Linked DNA regions of Alligator mississippiensis. The protein of the gene in region 1 purifies or fractionates together with the protein of each later gene. This does not show direct contact. Links are inferred from orthologs where the notes say so. Each region holds a gene or a part of one and is shown on either strand. Other genes may lie near its edges. The genes, in order: ATF2 and ATF1.

Region 1 (11,841 bases):
GAGTTGAAACAAAATAAGTACTTACTGCTTCCCATTTAAAAAAAAAGTCATTATTAAAGGAATGTCCAAACCTCTAACTCTAGAGACATGCTGTGTCTTACTATCATAAGATTTGAAATACAAAAGTGGAAAGAAGTGGTCAGGAATTTTTAAAAATATATATGAAAAATGGAGATTTTCACTACTTGCTAATTACACTTCTACAACCTGACCATAGGATTTTTATTCAATTTCAAATTTACTAGGCAGAGTAATCATTACTGGTTTCCAACAGTTATTCTCCTGTCAGCTACAGGGTCTTTAACAGCTAGCTCCCGTGCATTTTTTTTTCCAGCACAGGACAGAAGAACTGCTCTGAGACTGTGGGAGAAATTGGAGGGGGGCTTCAATGCTGATTTCTCTAGTGTTTCAGAATCCTTAAACAAGTGGATCTTCTGAACCAGGTTCTGCCGCTGCAGAGGAAAGACCATTGAAGCCTGTGAGCCTGGAAGAGGTGGATGGGATTAATTTTGAAATACTAGCTGTCATGAAGAGTGCTCAGAAGACCGGCATTACAAGCTATCTACCTCAAGAAGTCAAAGCATTTAACAGTGACTGCCCGGACAAAATGTGAGCAGAGGGCAGAGAATTTACCACCTGAAGGAAAAGAAAGCCAGAGACTGCTAGCATGCTGCTGCAACCACGTGCCTTGCTGCAAGAGAGCTTTTTGCCTGCCCTGGGAAGAAGATTTGAAACCTGTGCCTGTTCCAATGGATCACAGGGAACAGTAAGATGGAAGGTAATAATGCAATAGCATGAAGATATCGGGGTACGTATAACCACAGGATTTTCTGCCTAACAGTCGGTTGACTGAGGCATGAGGGCCAAAGGCACCTGCCTAGCTGAGGCAAAAGATAAACTGAGGAAAACAGTGGAGTCAGCCTATAGAATGAGTGCAGCTGGACAGGAAGAAAAAAAATTGAAAGCTGGTGATTAGTTACTCTGCCTACCAAGTCGAAACACAAGAAGGAACCTACCAATATTTGTCCTATCAAACGAACAAGTGCAAAAAACTCCAGCTTCCAAACCCAGCACTGGCAGCAAAACTAAAGGACTAGGGCATGTGCAGAGAAACAATGAAAATATATCTTTGGTAAAAGAGGGACAGAGCTGAAAAGGAAGATGAAGGGTCTCTGTGTGAACAACCAATAGAAAGGCCATTACTGTTCTTATTATAAGGGCTTACTTCTCATGCTCATGCAAAAAACAAAATCAAGCTGAAACTATGAATCAGATAAAAGGTCAAACAAATGAAAGTTTCAAAAATGAAACAGAAAGTGGGTGCAAAAATGAGATTAAAAGAAAAAGATGAATAAATAAATGTACGTATTAAATTTTGTTCAGAACATTTGTTTACTGAAGCTACTAGAATCACTGACATCAACTTATGATAAAGACTAAAAGATAAACAGGGTCTGAAAATATAAAAATAATTTAGTTCTGCAAGAATAAAAAATCATTTTGTTTGTTTCTCAATATATCCATTGCTTTTGGAAATGGGGAGATAGGTAACATTTTGATGCAAATAAACACTCCTGAACATCTGCAATATAGAACCATCACACTAGGAGAGGCTTACATTCTTCAAAACAGATTGGCAAAGTCCTTCAAAAAGTAATCAAAAATATCACTTGAACAATCTTCCCAAAAATGTGCTGTGTCACTTGGACTATCTGATGGAGGGTGCAATCATGTTAGTCTAAAATGAAATTAACACAGGATACTGTTGGAAACAATGTGACACAAACTTGAAAAGTCTCATAATATTCTCTCACATTAATATGATTATACTATAATTGATATCTTTAAAAGTTCTATCTCCTATTTGAATATACATTGATACCCCATCCGTACTTCAGTTAACTATGAGGCAAACAGTTTGAAATCCAATCACTTTTAAAAAGACGAATTAGAAGTTGTTTGAGGGAACAACCCCATTGCTTTCAAGTCCTGTTTTGCTGCTTTTCACTCATATTTTTGTTTTATTTTTATGTGAAAAAGCAGGAACTGAATTAATTATATTTGAAGACCTGTCAGATTGGTAACAGAAAACTAAAAAAAACCCCTCTAATTTCTTTAGTATTTTAGTTGCATTTATCTTTGATCTTGCCTGTGAAAATAATAAAGATATGTCTGAAAGAACTGTAATTTCTAGGTTAACAACATCCCACTAATACAAAGACAGTCTGTACTTCAGAATATATATCATTTCCATTCTTATTTATTAAGTTCTAGAATAACATTCAAAATCTCTGGTAAAGATTGGGTTTTGTTGAGCTAGAGGTACAAATAAGTAGGAAAGCAGTCCTAGCCCACAAAAACTTAAGAGTCTACTTTACAAAAAAATGCAACAAGTGGGTGTCACCACAACAGGGAAGGATTGGTGGTGGAAAACAGGTAAAAGTAATATGACCAAACATTTAAGGTGAGTTGTGTACACCACACAGTGCTTGTTCCAGTGCAAATTTTTTGTGGCAACTTTACATGTTAAATGTTTTTAAAGTGGTGTAGGGACAAGCTGAGCTCAGAAAAATCAAAACCAAGACGACACCAAGTGCGAATGAAAGATGCATCTTTCTGGATCCATGCCTAGGTATCCATATGCAATTAACACAAAGAAAAACAGACTAATGTCTTATAATGGAACAGGACCTTGGCATAAGCACACCTGAATCATACCTGAATGACAAAAGTCAGTAGAATACAGTATTACCTAAGTGTAACCTTTATAAGACACAGAATGTGCTGCGGAGATGTAGAAATGGAAATACAACCAAAAGATTTTATATAATCAAATCATACAGCATTTCTGAGTAGGAAACAGTACTCAGAAGATATAGTTCACCTATAAAATCCAGAACAAATACACCAAGAAGTTTATATTACTGCTCTCTGAATCAGGCTATAATAATGACCTATTATTGTGCAATATTAACTACCCAAATATAAACTCATCAGTGAACATGGTGACTCACTCCACTTCTCCAAAAATGTTATTTCATTAATGTTATTTCTGTAATTAATGATCATATTTGCCAATAAACTTTTATGGAACAGGGAACCCCAGTAAAGTTTTCTTTGGACCAGGTTGCAGCGAGACCCTTATATTTTGTAATATGCTATGTACCCGCATAGGTACTTAGCTTTACTACTGTGACTAGTTCAACCAAAATCAATGAGACTATTCTTAGTAGTAACCTTAAGCAGGTGCATAAGTGCATATAAATGTGAGTAAGTCTCTCTAAACAACCTGTACAAAACATCCTTCAATAAATGGTTCAAGATATTATATTCTGGAAAACAATTACGGAAAAAATGACCATACAGAAGCTTTCTTTCTTATCCCATCATTTAAATAGTGATTTATGCTCTAAAGCAGTGGCACTCAAACTTGTTAGACTCAAAGCACCCCTTGAAAATGTCAGCTCTTAGCCTTTACTTGAAAAGGCCAGAAAAACAGAATCATTATTCTATTTCAAAGAACTGAGAAAGACCAAAACAGGCCAAAACGTTTAGGACACGATGGGTACATCCAAATGAGCACAGTCATATGGTATATGGTGCCGCAAGCACATTTGCAGCACCACATACCATACAGTCCAGCATTCTTTGTGCTGCAAGGGTGCACTGCCTGAATGTGCGCTGCTCCATTTTTTTTCATTGTGGGGTTTTTTTGACCCCTAGATATCCAGGGGTAAAAAAACAAACAAACAAAAAAACCCAGAAAAAAACTTGAAGCAGTACATGCTCAGGCAGCATGCAGCGCAAGGTCCGCTACCAAACTTCCATGCACAGCTGGACTCGCTCTACGAATTCTTATTTAAAAACCTCAAGGTTTAGCTTATGAATCACTTGTAGATACTTGCATATCTAACCATGCTTGTATGTGGCAACTTGAAAAGTATCTCATGGTGCCCTGGTTGAGGATCACTGCTCTAAAACACAACAATTTAGAACTCAGATCACAACAATATTTTTCATTAGCCACATACATGATAAGTCCAACCTAACTTATTCAACTCAAATAGCTTGAAGCAATAAAGTGGGTGCTTGCCACGATTCATTCACAGGAGCATGGGAAGGAAAAAAACAAGATTTGGCTAATGGAAGGTCGAAGGCCGCACCCAAAAAGCCTCATTTATTTAGAGGACAAAGATAATCTTGTGTGTGTTAACTGGAAGGGCAAAGAAAGAGCAGAATATCTTTATTTCAGAAATGAATGAACTGCTTGAGGAACAGAGAAGTGAACCACCCGTGTGCAATGGGGCAAGTCCCTTTCGGGGTCAGGGTTGGGGGTGAAGAGGTTGGGGCAAGAAGGGAACGGGAGGCAGGAGGTGTGACAGCTCCAGCCCCGCAGCTTGCCAGCCCAGCAGCACAGGAAGCCTGAGGGAAGATCCGCAACGTGGGAGCACCGCAGCTTGTCATCACCCCGCCGCCGACCCCAGCTCTTGCAAGAAGTCCCCGGGCAGAGCGGAAGAGAGCGACACCTCGCAGAGTAGCGGGGCGTCGGGGCCAGGCAGGTAAGACACTCACCGGCGCATCCCCCGCAGGGCCGGCCCGGCGGCTCCCGCGGAGGGCGCAGGCCCCCACCGCCCGGCGGATGCAGGTGAAGCCCGGCCCGGCCCGTCCCATCCCCAGGGCCCGCAGCGCTTCCGGGTAGGGGGCGACAGGCTCGCCCGGCCCGGCCCCCCCCCGAGCGACCCTCCTCCGCGGGCGGTCGCTGCCCCGGGGACGGCGGGGCAGGGCCCGCGGTGGGGGAGGGGGCCCCTCCGGAGAGCGGCGGCGGCGCCATATTACTACCTCCCGGGCACCCCCGCCTACCCGGGGCCGCTCCCCGACCGCAGACCGGGCCCTGCAACGCCCGCGCCTCCCCGTCGCCTGCGGGAACGAAGGCACCACTGCCGCGCCCGACCCGGCCCGCGCTCTGTTTACAAACTCACCCCCGGAGCACGGCCCGAACCGCACATTAAAGCCCAGGTCCCCCACAGGCTTCCGTCACATCTCGCGAGACCTCGCTGACATCTCCCGAGCGCTGCTAGGGGAGCTGGTCACGTGACACCGCGATGGGCAGAGAACCCAGCCCCTCTCCGATTGGCTGGCGGGGGCTGGGCGCGCGGCGACACCGGACTTGTCTGTGTGGCCGGAAGCGCTGAATGACTGGGTGTGGCTGGAGCTGCAGCGCGTTTGCTGCCGCAAGCTAAGCAGGAACTGCGCTCGCTAGTGTGTGGATGGGAAACCAAGACTGCACCTTTTGTGCTTGAGGCGTTGCTTTTTAAAAATAACAAACAAAAAAACCTTTAAGGCTTAGTACTGAAAAGATAGATTGAGGTTGAGTTCATCAGATACAGCAGGGGCTCCTTTATTCCCACCCCCCAAAAATCACCCACCCTCCCATTCCTATTTAACTAGCCATCCCCACCTTCCCGTCTCCCTCCAAAAGGATTGCTGCATCTTTCTCTACCCTATGCCTCCGTTCCCCCTCGACCTATGCTAGTGCCCCTTTTCTCTCATCACACAGGTTTTGTATTTTCTCTCCAGTGTTAACTGCACCTGTGAATCTTGTGGCCTCTTTCCAGATACCCAGCTTAGGTCTCTGGCCTCCCATCATCACTTGCCTTCCTTTCCCTCTTCCCCCAGCAGTTCTAAGGCAATTCCATCCTGTGACCAAGTTCAGTTTGGCCCCTGGAAATCCAGAGATTTCCAGGGACACCGGCAGCTTCAACCCCTGACCAGGCAGCTTTCACAGAGCAGAGTACTGCCCTATTTGTTTAATACAATGCCAGAGAAAACTTTACATAAAACAATTGACAGTTTATACCTGGAGTAAGCTTGTTGGGTATTACCCATCCTCTCCCTAGCTGCCTAGCAGATACAGCATATAATTTTGTAGACTCCTTGTTCCATTGTGCACATTATCCTCCCTTTCTATAGCCACGGCTTAGTTTGCAGACCTTTGTCTTGCTGGGCCTCCTGAACCTGTACAGCCAATTAATGATATTTCCCTCCATAGAATGAAGTTTCCAAGGGCTGGGCATCTACACAATTACCACTGGCAAATTGCATCAACTACTTTCCCCAGATAGGGAAGCTATGAGGAACACAAAAATACATTTAAAACTTAGGACAAACCCTTTGGGTGGTAGATACAGTAATACAATCAATCTCAAGACAACAGCTTGCGATTTCCTTGTGGCTTCTGGAATATTGCACCTGCAATTGCTCCACCCACCAGAGATCCCCGTGCCCCTCAGTCCAGAATCTCTTTCCCCACATGGCAGGGGCTGTGCATGTATTTAAAGCAAGAGAGAGACAAGGGGCCCTGGGCAAACGTACATCTTATATCAAGTTTCTCATCAGTAGATTTCAAAGTGCTGCACAAGGGAGAGATCAGTACCATTATGCCCCCTCCCCCTACCATATAAGCAACATCAGTTGGCACGTCTAAAAAAAGATGAGTTTGATCTAATGTAATAATGAAATACCATTACATAATTTTGTTTTTTGAAATTTCCCCCAAAGTTTCCATTGGAAAATTTCCCCCAAAGTTTCCAGTGGTGCTGGCTCCTACCCTGGGGGTCTTTAAGGGGTTAGACGAACACCTTTTTCCTGCACCTTTTTAGACGAAGTACTTTTTCCTGCCATGGCAGGGTGTTGGATTTAATGATCTGCTCAGGTCCCTTTCGACCCTACCAAATATGAAACTATATGATTGGACAGGAAACAGAAAACAGAGCAGCAGATCAGGGAGGGGAAAGGGTGCAAAGTAGCACTTGGGGAAGATGTGAGGCTAATTTGTGGCACACTTGTCAAAAAGATTGTCCCCCCCCATTACTCCAGGGCGTGGAATATATCTTAAATTGTATTGAGGGTAAAGCAACAGATTTGTCCTTTTCAAACTATTTTAAGAATTAGGAATACTAGGAGAAAGGGCATATTATATAAGCAGGCCCTTTATATAATAAATCATTATTGATTGTAAATGAGTTTTGAAGGATTTGGACTCTGAGGTAATAGAGAGCTTATGTCTTTCAACTACATACTTCCCGTCTTCCAAGAGCTTAAAAAAAACCTCCTCACAGTGCCAAATACTAAAGGAATGGCATTGAGTATGTTTTAAAATTATTAATCTTATTTTAAACAGAAGTCAGAGATATATTCTCTAACATCTTTAAAACAATGATGCTGGATACCAAGGAGGGTAACACATAGGATAGATTGTTCTAGATATACCAACTTCAGTGCTGTTCCTTTAACACAGTGATTGTCAACCAGGGGGCTAGGGCATCCTAGAGTGCCACAAGATCCTTTGAAGGGTGCCCCAGAAAGTGTGAGGAAATAAGCAGGTAATGACAAGCTCAGATTGCAAATGTAAGAAGATAAACAAATAAGGGCATCACTCTGCATAGCCACATCACCATTCCCATTGTCTGACTCCTCTGCAAGGAGGTAAGCACTGTAATAAATTAGTTTTTGAAGTGGGATGCCAATAAAATCAAAAAAGTTATGCAGAGATGCCTCAAATCTTACATGGGGTGCCTTAAATCTAAAAAGTTGAGAACCAGTGTTCCAACACACACATTTTGGTGACCGTCAGACACAGGCTACTGGGTTAAATGGATAATTGGCCTAACCCAGTATGACACTTACTGTGTTCTTGTTAGGTACTGGTTGTTATCACATGGGTTGCAGCACCAGTTACAATGAACTATGCCCTTCAAATCTAGGCCATTTTGAGACAAGGGAAAGGTAGCTATATGCTCAAGGGCAATGGGGAGAAAACAAGGAACAGGAAAGAAAGAGGGCAGAGAGTGAACACTAAGAATGAGGAAAGGATGAGGAAATTTGGATCCATCCAAAGTTAAAGCTGACTTTAGTGGCAGCAGTATTTCCACTGAGGCAGGGCTGAGAGTCAGTTGACTTATGATTTATTATAATCTACCTGATTCCTTCTAAACTTTTCATTCAACAGATGTTAACAACTCTTTTTTTAATGGTCTTGACAGCTATCCTTTGTTCTGCTTTCTCTTAGGAGCTTCATTAGCAGGAGCAGCTATTTCACAACCCTGCAGATTGTTTTTAACTCATTCCAATTAATTTAAGATTGAAGGAAAAACAAATGCAACTTAATACAGGCCCAGGCCCCTACCATATTAAAAGGAAACTATATGCTTTACTACCAAGAGAAAATTGTGTTTTATATGTGATGATACACATCACTTAGTGTGTACTTTGTACAGGTAGTTTTCTCCAGGAATGACTAGATTATGGCAGGAAGAGATGTTTTTGGAGGGTCAAAGTTAGCAGAACAGTATGTGCATTAAGTTACACCCTTCAAGTGACTGCAAATACTTTGAGCTTTCAAAACAATCATTTCTGAAAGTCTGCAAGTATCTGGCCCTCTGGTTCTAAGCAAGGAAAGCAATATGATCAAACTCTTTCACATTGGTGCTATTATCAAAGTTACTGTTCAAGAACCTCCCAAGCCTGAAAGAGCCCATTTCAAAAAAAGGGGTCTAGAATTTTTGTTCTTGTTAAGTTTCCACCATTGCCCTGACTTCACCATAACAAACAAATTGTCTGTTGCCTGTACGCTGAAGCAATTTGACTTCATGTTTTGTAGCAGCTATGAAGCAATGTTGTCATTTGTAGATTGCTTAGATCCTTAGATGTGCAATAAGCCTCAGCATGTATAAAATGGCAATACTAACCACTAAATCAGACGTTAGATTAGCAATAGAAAATGCTGGTTTTGGTAACAGCTAGGAGCCTTCTTTGGGACTTTCAGTGTTATCTGAAGTCATTACAAATTTCATAAACTTAAGAAATCTCTTTTAGATTTGAAGGCCAAAGTGGTAGACACACAGCATTTAGACTAAAAAGGTGACATGCAGCATTGTGACCAAATAGAGAACACCACTTTTGTTCTGTTCTACATTGTGTGGCTGGAGGTCAGCATATGAGCACTCAGTGTTAAGGGGAAAATCAGAAACAAGTGTCTAACAGTTCCATCCAAAGTGTTCGAATTAAAGATGAAGGTCATAGCTAGACAGTTAGAGATAGTCTTTAATGACATGACTTTGGAAATAATGTACATTTCCACAACACCAACATTTTGAGAGTCCCGGCAAGATGCACAGAATTACATTTGTAATTTACTAATGCCAACATCACAAGCAGATCTCTCTTCACATGGCAAACAGGATTAAGAAAGCAACCATCAGGCAGAAGAGACCCATAGCTTCAGACAGGGCAAATCCCAGGATAGCATATGAGAACAGCTGCTGCTTCAGAGAAGGGTTTCTAAAAGAGAATGCATGAGAGGTATTAAATGCTTTATATTTATGAAGATGCAACTCAAGTATCATTTGATAAATTTAAAAAGTTGTGGTTATGATGCAAGTTTTACAGAACGCTATAAAAGTGTCATAGCAGACAAAACAAAAAAAGAGAGACAAACTACACCTATACAAAAGGTAACATTAGTATCACTGTTACAGGCACTTCATTGAAGACTACATTAAGATAATGTAAGCTACATATCACTAAATTTGATTCTGAAATTAATGTCCAATTATAGAACAACCCTAAATTCCCTTTTATATTAAAAAAATTCACAACATTTTTACACCACTCAATTACAACTGAAAAAGCCTAGCCTGTGTAGGCTTCATGTCAAATATGCTCACCAGGAGAAAGAAAACCACCAGGTAGGGAATATCAGCTCAGGTTTTCTTGTTAAATTCCACTTGTGTACAGTACAGGAAGGAGTTCATTTGCACAACCAGACCTATCCTGAATACCTTTGCAATATTTTAAGCAGCTTGTAAACAAGCTACGCTGTTCAACTCTCTCCCTAGCCAAGATGGCGTTATCAGGTTCATTTGTTACGAAAATGCAGAGTATCTCCCTAGAAAGTATGGGAAGGAGAATATTTAAGTTTTTAATGGATTACCACCCTGCAAGTTGTGATGCAAGAGCGAGAAGTACCTCCATGAACTAGAGATCATTTTACACTTCTGCCAGTTACCAGTTGCAGTTTGAACATATTACTGCATGGGTACAATTGTGCATTTGCTAGATAACTAGGGAAAATTAGATTTGCCCCTCTTAAAGGATTTTCCTCTTCTCAAGCTTCTGCAGCAAGGTCTGCTATCCAACATCAGTTGGTTGCTATGGAACTAATTGCTACAGTAAAGCTACAATGTTGAAGCTGGCACATTAAGTAGAAGATATGCTACAAAGCTGTAGTGAGAATCCACATCTAAAAGAACCCTGATAATTGGGAGAAAGGGGCATAAAATCAAATTAGATATCAACATCCATCATCTAATCTGTTCCTCTAATAATGTTGGGTGTTCACTACAGAATGTGAAGTCGCTCAGTCTAGATTTGTGTTTCTTTTCAGTGCCAATTCCAGCTTTGAAAAAGTGAGAGTCTGATTTAGCTAGTCAGTGGCCACATTCTACACATGTCCCTATGACACCTTTGTTACTGCGCCATCATTTAATACTTTCTTTTGGAAGTACTAAATGACGGCACAGTAACAGCCCATACTGCGCCATGTGCGCAGTTATTTTTAGTTGCCATGGTGACAACTTCAATGTCCCGGTTTGTGACTGCTGATGCTATATCACTGTAGTGCAATGACATGTGTAGATATGCCCAGTTTGCCTTAAGTAATCACTGAAGGTCTACATATACCAGAGTTTGAATCTTACCAATTCAGGACTCAGAGCCAGCTTCATTGGATACACTGCCACTACATACTATTCCATTTATCCAAGAGTATCATAAAAGCTATTTAAGAACAATATATTGGAGTTCCATTTCAGATAAAGCTCTACTACACCAAAGAACTTCTACAACTGGTATCAATGCAACAACACTTCAAGCATAGTATTTTTCACAGAAGGAAAAAAAAAAATTACCTGGCATAACCAATAATTAGACTACCAAAGACGGTTCCAATACCAGCACCAGAACCAGCCACTCCTACTGTGGCAGCACCAGCACCAATAAATTTAGCAGCAGTGTCAATGTCCCTGCTGATAGCACTAGTCTGGAACTCTCTAAGTGCTAGTTGCAATACAGTGTTCTGCGCCCCATTAAGAATTGAGTTACCCTAAGAAAGAAACATGAGAGACATTTAAAGTTCAGTCAGACAATATATTTTACATATTTATTTTGAGGTATTCTGTATTTTGAGGTATACTGTGGAACTAGAGTTAAGAAATACTACGTGCAAGAGTAATTAGTGATTTAAAAATTATGACTATAAGTGAAACACTTGAATATGGTACTTAAAGAATCAATGGCAAACAAAAAAACCCTCAAAGAGCAGAGGGGGAAAATGGAGCATGACAGCAAAATGTATTATCTTCAGGTGCCCTTTTTAAAGGGAGTCGCATTTGAATCTAGGATTAGTATACTTAGGCTCACCAGGCAGTTTTGAGTTTTTGTTTTGCAACTGAGTTTTGTTTAAATCAAGATACCTCTTCAGTCCGGACCTCTGGCCTAGAAAATACAGATGCAGAAATTGGTCTGTACAAGGCTTTTGATCCATCACGGATCTGTAAGAAAGATAGGGGAAAAAAAAGAAAAAAAAAAAGATAAATAAGACATTTGTAGTCAACGTTCTTGGTTTTACAGCCTCAGTATTCACTAGCCACCATATCACTTTTCCTTATAATAGCAGTGAATGCATTAGCATCTGTAGATCTGCAATCTTTTGTACTGCCAACAAAGTATATGAAAGCACTCATTTTTTGCTTGAAGCATCAAGCATCATCCCCCTTACCCCAA
Region 2 (11,890 bases), on another chromosome or scaffold:
TCAGCACTGAAATGGTATAAGGTACAAGGATATTCATTCTGTGGAGTCTATTGAAAAAAACGACCGGCATGCTTCTCACAATTCTACTTGCTTGTCTTCTTCCTCCCTGAGTATGTAAAGAAAAAAACCCCCCTATCAAACCACTTAGCTTAAAAACAAAAGATTGCTCTTAACCTAATTCTTAAGAAATATTTGCTGTAGCCTGGCCCTTGCTTTACCTGTTGAGCAACGTGAGAGAGGTGAGTTGCCTGTAGTGTTGTACCTTGTACAGTGGTTTGTGGAGGTGTCGCTGAACTGTTACTGCTGCTCTTGTGCACTTCCTCCATATCAACTACAAGAAAATAAATAAGGAATCAATTCAGTTATGGATAAAATATAAGTTGGAAGTTTCAAAGGGAGTGAGGTCCCCTACCTCCATTAACTTTCAATAGGATTGGGATGCTTCGCTCTGTCAAGCTTAACTGAAAGTCCCAGCCATAATTAATACTGCTACTTAATACTTCTACAGCAGCTTCCACCAGAAGATAAGGAAGCACTTTTCATGAAGCCTCACAATCCTCCTTTGACATACTTAGGTGTTTTCCTCCCCTTTTACATATGGGGAAAACAAAAAACAGACATGTTAGCAAGCTGCCCAAACCCACAGACTGAATCAGTGGAAAAGCCAGAATACCACCCCATGATGCTGCCTCTCAGTGCTGTGCTAAGCCTCTGAAGCCTTAACCTTTCTGCAGTTCAACTTTTTCAGGACCAATTCAGATCTATCCATTAAGTGAAAGGAAGATTATGCGCCTACCTTTTAATTCCTTTGCATCTCTGGATGCAAAGCAGCAGAAAGCAGACACTAGATTTTACAATCTATTTATTGAACTATCACTGAAAACTGTCATAAAACATTCAGCATTGTTCTCCAAGTGTAAGAGCATATTCAGTACACAAAATGTAATACTTTTAAGATCATAAAAAAAAATTAACCAGATCTGTATATTCAGAAGTCAAGGGCACCCTCCTCAGATTTTTCACTGTTTATACTTAACCATCCAACATAATTTTAATGTAAAAGCTGTAAATCAGCAGCTTTTGTGTAATGTAAAATGCATATGTTTGGATGGGGTGAGCAGGCAGACTGGATGGAGGCATTAAAAGATGATCTGTAAGCATTACATGTTTTGTCACACAAGGTTTGAAACAGTTGCAAGGGCAGTTGCTATGAGACTGGAAATTACATTTCTCTCTGTGGAAACGTGAGTCATTGATTTTTCCCTACTGAGATCAACCACAGCTCTTGCAGCTTGACGTACACGCAGAGGGTAAAAAGTCAGTAAGTGTGAAGTCTAGAGGCCTGCTCTCGCAATCCTTACTCATCTGGGGAAATTGCACTGAAGTCAACAGAACTCACTTCAGTAAAGTTGCAAGATCAGGCTCGGCAATGAGAAAACTGATGAGAGGGGAACAGTAAGTAAGATGTGTGAAACAGCACCTTCAAAAGAGAAACTAAGAATTGGTCAAATCTGACACCGCTGAGAGACAACTGGAACCTTCCAAAAATGTAAGACAGTTTATAGACACGCAGGCAGCGCCGTGAACCCTTTTTTATTTGAGTCCTAACAAAATGCACAAAACAAGGGGATATGAAAGAAGTGGTAAAAATCAGTTCTACTCTTATAGAACAAAAACATGCAGTTTGCATTTCTGTTCAGCTACACCGTGCCACTTTGCTAATAGGAAACCATCACACTGAAATTGAGTCAAATGCAAAAACACTAAAAGTAATTTCTGGCACTCCAGAAAACCCCAAGTAAATTCCTTTAGTTTTCAAGACATCATTTCTTATTTTGAAACACTCTGTCCTGTTGTTGTATGAATTGCTGCAACACAGACAAACTAACTCTAACTAAACAATTAAATGGAATAAAAACAAAGTCAATCTGAAATGCTCAAGAGTTCACTAAAAAAATATAGCAAGGCGTTTTTGCTCTTGTTGGGTGTTACCTTTGTATTTTTAGCCAGAAAAATGACTTTTAAGTTGACTGTCTCTCTAATTTCAGATAGCACTTAAAAGCGCTTATCTAACAACTGTCAATAATGAAAAGAAACAGCAAACTATTTTAACAAGCAAACAACTATTATTGTGTATTTGATTTGTGGCACTTGCATCCTCCACAGGATAAGGAAGCACAATATACTACCCAGTGACGTGCAACAAATTCTAGAGGTCTCTGCTTTGCTAAAGCAGATTATCTGTCTGGAAAACATATTGCTTTTTGCGGAAGATATTTCTAATAATATTTTTAAAAGACAGCGGTTTCTACCTATTCAGCATTCAGTAAGACCTTTACTCTCAAGGGTGAAAAACAGTTCTAATTAACAACCTCAAGCCACAAGTTTTCAGCCAAAGAATGATTTGCATACTGAGTAGGGAAAATTTACTAGCATTTCAGCTTTTAACACCACAGCCACAACTACTTCCAACAACAATAAAACATTTGTTTGGAGGAAGCCAACTACATAGTTTCGGGATGAAGGAAAAGTTTTTCATGGAACACGGAAAGCTGGAAGTAGGGAATTCGCTGCAGTGATTGGCACTGTCCAGAGGACTGATGCTTAAGACAAATAATTAGTTATTTTTATAATACTGTAGGTAGGGATGACCATTTACAAAAAAAGAAAAAACTTCCTTGAGGATCTTAGTCTAAATGAACCGACTCTGAAATCCAAGCACTGTGCAGAACACATCTGCTCCAAAGAACCAATCTTTCAAACTCATTTCTGCATTATGGTAGGAGTTTTGTTGTGGCCGTGACAGGTTCAGGGTCTATGCAAGAAGCAAGGTTTCTTTGGTAACATCTTTTACTGAACCAACCATATAGTTGGGAAAGATATTAGACAAGCGTTCAGGTACAAAGCGTCCTGCCTGAGGATTCCAACTACTGGATTTTGAAATATCTGAAGAAGCTGATCAATTTTTAAAGATCTCAAAGTTTCTCCCAAGTCAAATCTGCTACTGGTCTTACCAGGATAGTTTTAAATACTGAATGACAACATTAAAAGGGATTCAAGTATGAGTTTTGTATAAATGTACTGCACTAATTTGGTTAATTCTAATGATGTTATACTGCAGACATGAGACGGTTTTAAGGAAAAACATTCCCAAAACCCCAGCAGAAACCTCAACAGGAAAGTCCCTTTTCCACAGGCAAAGGCTGTTAAAGTCTTATACATGTTACTTGAATACTGGATACTTCAGGAGACTGTACATCCAATAGACAGCAACTGGGAAGAAACTCAAATGAAAGCTGACCTACAGCTTCCTGGAAATCTGTGAAAAGCATATGCAATATGAGAAGGAGTCCTGGAAATACAAGCCAGGAAGCTAGCAAAGAATCTTCCTTCAATATGTAACAGATGGGTCTAAGAGCCGTGCTTAGAGCTCAGGCCCCTGGCTCTGACATGTATAAAATAATAAAAATGCCACTACTCAAATCACGCACAGTACTTTTTATCAACAGATCTCAAAAGGAGGTCACTGGCATCATCTCCTTTTTACAGATGGGGAAACAGAGGCAGGGGGGTGACAGGACTTGCCCAAGGCCTCCCAACACACAAGAGGCAGAAACAGGAATAGTACCCAGGTTTCCCAGTCCTGGTCCAGTGCTTAATAATAAGCAACCCTTCCACTCCTTAAAGAAAGACAGTTCCTCTACTGAGGGCATTATGATTTAAGAACAAGAGAAGAGACAGTCGATGGCTGCAATGAAGTGGGGGGAGGAAAGAGAACAAACCCCAGGAAACAATGAAACAACCAGCACCTTTGGGAACATGCTGCAAAAAAAAAAGTGAGCACAAGAACGCTGCAGAAGAGGCAGCACAACAGTTTCCACCCCAAGGACACAGCCAACCTTTGAGCAAAAAGCAGACAGCACGAATCACAACGGAGTACTTTTCCTTATCTCCGAGTAACAGACCAACATTTATGTGGAGGGAGGGTTTCCCACTTGGAGAAACAAGACATAATGCTCTAGCCACAGAGCAACTTTTTAAGGGAGCCCCTGGGTATACCCAGAAGAAGCGATGCCAGAATTTGGATGACGACCCCACAAAAACCTTGTCTCTTGACGATTCGTAAGCCATTTCTAGACCCGGGTCTTTAAGGCTTAGCCACCAAAAAAAAAAAAAGAAAAAGAAAAAAGGATTATATTAAAACGAGCATCCTCACATTTAAAACAGAGCATTGAAAACGGCCCACCTACAAGCGTGGCGCTAGCAACATACGACACAGCTCGCTGGAAAACGAGTCACTTTGTGCATTTACTTGTTGTGTATCGATTAATACCAAGGACATCAAGGAGCTGGGGGACGTCTCCTCACCGCGGGGACGCTCGCCAACTCCTGCAAGACCATTTTTAGGCCGGACGTAAGGACAAACATCTTCACCGTCCGAGCCTGCCCACGGACGCGGTGCAAGCGCCTACTCCGGACACGTCCAAGAAACGTTTGGACGCTCGTCTCGGCGGGATCGCAGACGTCACCGATTTTCGGCTCGACCGACTAGCTCGAGTCCGATCCTTCGCGCCCGGCCGACTTCCTGCCCCTGGGGGACCCGACGGTCTTGCGGCCGCCCGAATGCCTGCGCGATCCGTAATCCCGACAAGAGAGGAGGGACTTTTCCTTTTTTTTTTTTTTTTTTAAGGTCCAAGAAACGAACCAAGCGACGCGACGGCAAACCTGGGAGCGGCGGGCGACGCCGACCTACCGTGTTCCTGACCACGAAGCCGGTGGGCGAGTAAGCCCGGCCTGCTCCTCGTTACAGATTTTCCCACCCAAACTGCACGTGGAGGCGGACGAACCAGATCCCTGGGGCGCTTTACGCCCCGACGCGAAGCGCCCCGGCCCCCTCAGGCCTGGCGGGGCGCAAACACGGCTGCCCCCCGCGCCCGCGCACCGGGGTCTGTGGCGCGACGCCCCCCCACTTCAGGAACCACCCGCACGTGCCCCGGGCCGGGCACAGCGCCGGACAAGGCCGCGGGCGCCCGGGGCGCGGACACGGCGGCTGGTGGGGCCGGCCGAGGCTTACCTCGCGAGCCCCGCGGCCCTGGCGCCGCCTCAGCAGCCCGGCGCCGCCGGCATCGTCCGCGCCGCAGGCCCGGCCGGGACTCCGCGGTGGGCGGGCCGCGACCATCGAGTCCCTCGGAGGCCCGGGCTAGACGTGCTGCCTGGCGTAGAGCGCATACCATAGAGTTCTCGAGGGCGCGTCACGGAGGAGCCGGCTAGAGCGGCTCCCTCCCAGCGTGGGAGGCGGAGCAGGCGAGTTCTGCCAGGAGGCCGAGGCTAGAGCGTCGCAGCGGGCGGCCGCCATGTTGGCTCCGAGGGCGGGAAAGCGTCTCGTTCCCCTGAGGAAGCTGCGGGTGCGGCTTCGCCTCAGTCTCAGTCTCCTCGCCACTTTGAGGTGTTCTCGCCTCAGCCTCCTCGCCCTCACCCCTCTGAGGTGTCCTCGCCTCAGCCTCGTCACCCCTCTGAGGTGTCCTCGCCCCTCTGAGGCAGCTCATGTGCGAGCCCTGCCTTGAGGGGAAAGCCCCAACCCACAGTAGCCCGTGGCTGCCTTGCTAGGCCCGGCTGAGGAGAGCATCCAGACGTTCAGAAACAGCTCAAAGCAGGGGCTGGGGCACCAGCCCGAGGCGGGCGGATGGGGACACCCAGGCGTTCGGCTGAAGGCCCGGCCGGACACGGCCCGGAGAGGCGTTGGGGTCTAACGCTGGGAAAGCAGCCTCTAGGAAATCACGGGACAAAGAAAATCCTCAAATCAAAACGGTTCGGGTTTCCGAGCAGAGGGACGGGCTTTTCTTCGGGCGGACCGTCGCCCCGCGTCCCTGCCTCTTGGGGGCGCACAAAATGGAGCCGGTTTCCTGCCGAAGTGGCGCGGCGTTGTCGTGAAAAATTAAACAGCCGCCCCGGTTTGCAAGAGAGTTCCTGTTCGCTTCAGAGGTAGGTACAGAAACTTTTCCACGTACATTACCCGTACTGTTCGTCAGCATTGGCAACCCCACAGCGTTGAGGAGGATTGCTTTATCGGCGGGTCTGAAGAGGGCCAACAAGGCCAATCCGGGATCAATAAGTTATGTTGCACCTCGGGGTAGGACGGCCATCATAGAGGACAGTCCAGGTGTCTATACTAATACGAAACCCAACGCCTTTATGGCCTCTATTTTTCCCTTGAAAAAAATCAATCAATAGCTCTTGAAGAGAAAAATAGAGGACATAAAGGCGTTGGGTTTTGTATCAGTAGAAAACAAAGTAGCAGAAAACTGAGATGTCCTCTATGATGGCCAACCTACCTTGGGGGGCATGTTTCTGTGCCCGGGGGGTGGATCTGATTTCAAAGTTATTAGGGTCAGAAGGGACCTCAGTAGGTCATCGAGTCCGACCCCCTGCTGTGGGCAGGAAAGTGTGCTGGGGTCGGATGACCCCAGCCAGGTGCTTGTCCCGTCTCCTCCTGAAGACCTCCAAGGTAGGGGAGAGCACTGCCTCCCTTGGAAGGCCATGTTTTTGCTGCTCCTGCTGTCATTGTAAGGTTTCAAAGTACTTATGTCTCTATATCACATATGTCTATGTTGTTACATGCGCTTGTGCACATTTACTGTACTTTATGAGGTCTTTCATTATACACGTGCCTTCAAGCAGTCTGAGGCTCTGTGCTGCAGTTGAACTAATGGTCTAGACCTGCTTCGTCATTAGTTCCTTGGAACATCTGACTCCGATACGGAGGCGGTTGAGACATGGTTCGTGAGCCCCTGGTGGTAAGGACTCTGCTGCTGGAACATCCTTTTTAAGCTGTCAGGTATTTTCTTCAGCATCTCATTCCCCATCAGTAGTCATGTCTCCTTGGGTGCTGATAAGGAAGCTCCTGCATGATTTCAAATGTTTGTGTGCAGCTTCGAAGCACTGAGATCCCTGCAGCAGACTCTTCCTTCATTTGGGGCTGTCCTGGGTGATAATAATATCCCACAAGTTAATGTCAATATTACTTTTTTCAAGTTGGCCTTGAGGATGTCCTTGAAGCACTCTTTGCCCTCCCTTCTTCAGCATATGTCTCAACTGAGCTGGGGAAAATAAAACTTGCTTTGGGAGTCTGGAGTCGGACGCCCAGCTATTGTGGCCAGTTTAGCGAAGATGATGTCAGATGATCATCGCCTCAATGCTCGGGGTGTTCACTTGCGAGAGGATGCTGATGTTGGCACGTCTGTCTTCCCACTGGATTCGAAGGATCTTTCATAGGCAGTGTTGATGGTACTTCTCTAGTGACTTGAAATGTTTCTAGTACGTTGTCCATGTTCAAAATTTGTGAAGACACTAAATACATTTTGAGCTTGACCATCAGGACCCTCATGGATAATCCTAATAGCGAATGCCTAGAGTTGGTCTAATAAAAGATATCAAATTCACCCAAGGAACCTTGTCTGCCTAGAGCACCACATTGCACTCAAGAACTATATTGACATAGCTGTAATGAGCAAGATGTGGTGAGTGGGAGGTGGGCAACTCAAGATTGAGGAGGCAGCTATACACTCTTCTGGAAGGATAAACAAGAAGAAAAGTGCCTACTTCACAGAGGTGGTTTTGCTATTAAGAATGAACCCAAAAACCAACTCAACAAGTTCCATGTTGGAACTGACTGCCTCATGACTCTGTCTTAAACGCACCGCTGCCATCAGCACATCTGTCCCAACTCTTGATGCTGCTGCTGAAACCAAGGAGGAATTCTATGCCAACCTTCACGAGGTCCTTTCTGACATTCTGGAGGGAGACAGACTTATTCTGCTGAGCAACTTCAATTCCAGAGTTGGAAGGGATTACTATTCCAACAGAAGAGTCTAGATAGGGGTAGGCAACCCTCAGCATGCGTACCAAAGCATGGTACATGAAGGCATTTTGCTTGGCATGTGTGCCTTGGGATGGATGACAGGGAAGGGGGCTAGGACTGCACTGCCACAAGGATCAGGCACCTCCCAGCTCCCCCTGCTGCCACTTGGCCCTGGCATGGCAACTTCTTACAAGTTGAGGTTGCGGGTTTTTTTGGCACTGCCCAAAAACATTCCTGACACTGGGTCTAGAGAGAGAACAAAAACTATAGCCATCGCTTTTGGTTAGTGCTTAAAATTTCCCCCCAAGTGCAGATTTATTATTTTATTTGCAATATGGCACAACTGTTTATTTACATTAATATACAAATGATTTTTGTATACATTTCCTTTTTTGAAGGGATTATACAGTTCTAACAGTCATGTTTCACAAATGGATAATTGCAATTTGTTAGTGATACCTGTAAAAAATTTCTCACTAAAAGAAAATTAGAACACAATACACTAATAATACCTAAACATTACCATGTGGTTAGTCTCTATGGTCTCTGTAATTGTGCCTTTTGATGCGTTCAAAATTGCACTTTCCCCAAAAGGTAACGTTCTACTAGTTTAAAGCTGCAATACTGTTCCTTTTCTTCTGTTTACATAAAGATCAGTTGATGCACTGTAGACAGTGCAAACAAATTGCACAAGAGAATGAAAAGCCTCAGCAACTGGCCTGACAGGTTGCTGAAAGAAAAACTTCCAGTTGAGAGAACTTATTTAAACAAACAGGTAAGAATTAAAATAGACCTTATATTTTGAGAGCCTCTCTGAACAACTCAATTTCACAACATTTCATACTCAAGAAATCGCTTGTCAAAACAAGAATAAAAGCATTTAATTTTATTTTGCAACTGAAATATGAAAAATGGAATCAATGTACAAAACAGACATGAATAAAGCAAACATTGAATACTGTCACAAAACTTGTATGTAATATATAGCAGTGGTTAACTCAATCTCAGCACAGCTTAATTAGCGTAACATACCAAAGCAAAAATATCTTATGTCCATTAGACTGGTATATTTGCGTGTCTGTAATAAAACATGTAATTTTAAGCAATTCGTGCTACTTTGGGGTTTTTTTTTACATTAGCATTATTTCAGTACGGGTTAAAATAAAAAGTTATACCACTGAAAATGGACAAAGTTTAATGTTAGCCTCACCGCATAATAACTGCAGCTTACATTAAGAGTAAAGATCAAACGTGTAAATGTTGCAATATCTCTCGGCTAGAGTTCTTGATAATCTCAGGATGAAACGCAAGTATAGATTACCATTTTTATCTACACAAATATTTCAGGAGTGAATGAGAGCTACAAGTAAAAGCTGTACAGTACTAACAGGTAATGTTCCCTTTCTCTTCACAGTGATCCTTTCACAGCTACATTTTGGGTCCTAGTCAGAGTTTAGCCATTTACTGTAATGGAAGCAGGCTAAGCGTGATCCAACTAATCACTGAAGTCAGTGGGAATCTTTCCAGTGACTTCAATGAGTGTCAGTCAGGCTCTTAAATGAGATTTAGTTACATTGCATAGAGGGTAAATGACTTGTACTTTGTACATACATAAACCACACAGTATACAGCTTCCAGCTACGCGCAAATCAAAAGAATTCCAGTGATAACAGGGTAGCCATGACAGCAAAGGTCTCATACTGATGTCATCAGAACCTTGAAGAGCGTCATCTTTCCACTTTTGTATTATATAGTTATATTAGTTTGATATTTAATATATTCAGACATTTCACAAGAATTGATTTATGAACACTTTCCACTTTTAATTTTTTGTAGTTTTTTAAAACACTTGCTTTAACAAGATATACCGAAATGCTTACATTTTCATTGTCTGAGTTTCAAAACTAATCAATGTCTAATCAGTTTCACCTATTCAGTTTTGAGTAACTTTATTTTCCTATACTAACATTATGTGGTATTGTATTAGTAGAGAGGCAGGTTTGTTTTCTAAAAAATTCTCCAGTAAAATTTTAATACAATGGAAATATTTTACTGGGAATAATTTTCTTCCTTTCAAAAAGTCTCTTAAGTTTTGGCTTACATTTGACATGACAGTAATGATTTCCATTAAAATCTTGTATGAAAATATTCCTTGTGTTACCATTTTATATATAAACTTGATTGTAAAAGTTTCTTCTGTTTTAAGAAGAAAGCATTAGGGTTTTGAAATGTCTAGTCTCTTGAGGTAATTATAAATCAGCTTGTTGCTATGTGGTTGCTGCAGAGGTTGGATTGCAGCTTCGAAGTGACCAAACCAGCAGAAACCCAAGGTTTGGCCATTATGTGCTACAGTCCTGTTGTGAAAAAACCATAAATAAGTTTGAAGATTTCCCTCATATTCCCTGGAGCATGTAGGTACAGGTACAGCTGCAAAACCAAATTTTTGAAGACATGCTAGGAATGAAGTCTCTCCAGCCAGAAAATTAGCTGGTAAGAAAGGCTGTCAAATTGAAAAAACCTCTTGACACATTTCCAGGTTCGCAATAGTGGTTTGGGTCACTGAAAAGTCTCTTGGCACACTGCCATTTTGCTCATTTCACTATACTTAGCAGGAGGCAAACTCCAGAGTAATAATCTTTATAGTGCTGGTCACGGGCAAGGTTCATGATACTTCTACTCTTGGACCAGCTCTATAACACTATACAGATTAGCATCTGTTAGGTGTGAAATAAAACAAGTATTGTGTATGGTATTCACTTTGTCCTAGAAAACCATAGCTGCTAGTGATCTCTAAAACACAATTATCTTCCACTTTTGCAACCCTTGAAATGTTCCCCATTTTAAGATTAAATTTATAAATACGGTATAACATTTCATATGCAGTTTTAATTTTGTTTTAAATTAAGTTCTAATTTCTTGAAACAAGCCATAATTCTAAACTACTACCTTAATCTTTTAGGCAATAGATTTGCACATATGCACCCTCTACTATCTCTACAAAAAAAAAGAATGAGGAACATGGAACCACGTTTATACCATTTATATATATAATTTTTTAAGAAAAATAAATTAATTATTGCAAACACTGGCATTTATACACATGCTCCAGGAGGTAGGGAGGGGGGCATTTTAATTTAAGTGGCTCTGAGAGTTGCAAATACCAATAGTTAAAGTGTATTAAATAACCCAAGCGCACTTCTTGAAAAGTGTAATTTAAAAGTTAGAAAGGAATGAAGGCAACAATTAAAAATAAAATAAAAAGGTTAACAGGTTCTGGCCATTGCAGTTTAACTGGATGCCCACATGACTCAGGACTCTGGTAAATTAATTTTGTTACCATCTATATTTACATAGCTATACTCCCCCATCTAACACCAAAACTGAGTAAATCTTTGTGAACCCAAATGTGGAAGAAAGTTACAAAAATATCATAAATTGTTTACTGCATTTAGGTTGTATATTAAACTAAGCTAAAAGTATAGGAAACGCTTCCTGGACAGGGTATTTCTTCACACAGAAACAAGGAACCAGGGTAAGACTGCTGTTTAGAATTTATGGAAAAATATATGTGTGTGTGTGTGTGTGTGTGTACACGTGCGCGCACGCGTGCACAATGGCTAGGTAAAGTTGGGTTTATAAAAATATATTAATTATATTCTTACTGTTCCAAAGTATTTCTTAAGTCTACAGACATTTGAAGATGACATCTTTCAACACAATTCCCATTGTTAAATTCTGACAGCAGAATTATATAGTGTTGAATCTCAGATAAGGCCAAGCTTCCTACTTTGTCATCTTACTGGAAAGCCATATATAATTGCTTTTCCATAGTCAGCAAATTCAAATCCTGGCTAAAATTACAAAAGCTGGCTGGAGGCTTGTGTCATTCCTCATCTAAATCTTAAGATTAAGGCCACAAATAACATAACATTCTTTCAGACTTTATTGCTATATTTGTCTTGTACGTGAATCAATGAGTTCCCCCCCTTTAGTGACATAAAGAAGTGGAGATAATGGGCATAAAAATGTGGC

What was found.
Region 2: the proteins of ATF2 (region 1) and ATF1 purify together in Homo sapiens (affinity purification with mass spectrometry; 3 studies listed by BioGRID and IntAct, with this or other methods). This does not show direct contact. The link is inferred for Alligator mississippiensis from reciprocal best matches to the Homo sapiens genes ATF2 and ATF1.

The regions. Positions count from the first base shown.
Region 1 is NC_081827.1:209,820,562-209,832,402, reverse strand, and holds the start of ATF2 (cyclic AMP-dependent transcription factor ATF-2), read right to left. Parts: upstream 5,078-11,841; 5' UTR 4,980-5,077; intron 1-4,979. Other genes in the region: ATP5MC3 (ATP synthase F(0) complex subunit C3, mitochondrial), read right to left, coding at 9,225-9,339, 10,968-11,161, 11,532-11,609. UniProt on the Homo sapiens protein: Transcriptional activator which regulates the transcription of various genes, including those involved in anti-apoptosis, cell growth, and DNA damage response.
Region 2 is NC_081838.1:6,159,872-6,171,761, reverse strand, and holds the start of ATF1 (cyclic AMP-dependent transcription factor ATF-1), read right to left. Parts: upstream 5,195-11,890; 5' UTR 5,180-5,194; coding exon 5,075-5,179; intron 332-5,074; coding exon 263-331; coding exon of another isoform or gene 219-262; intron 1-218.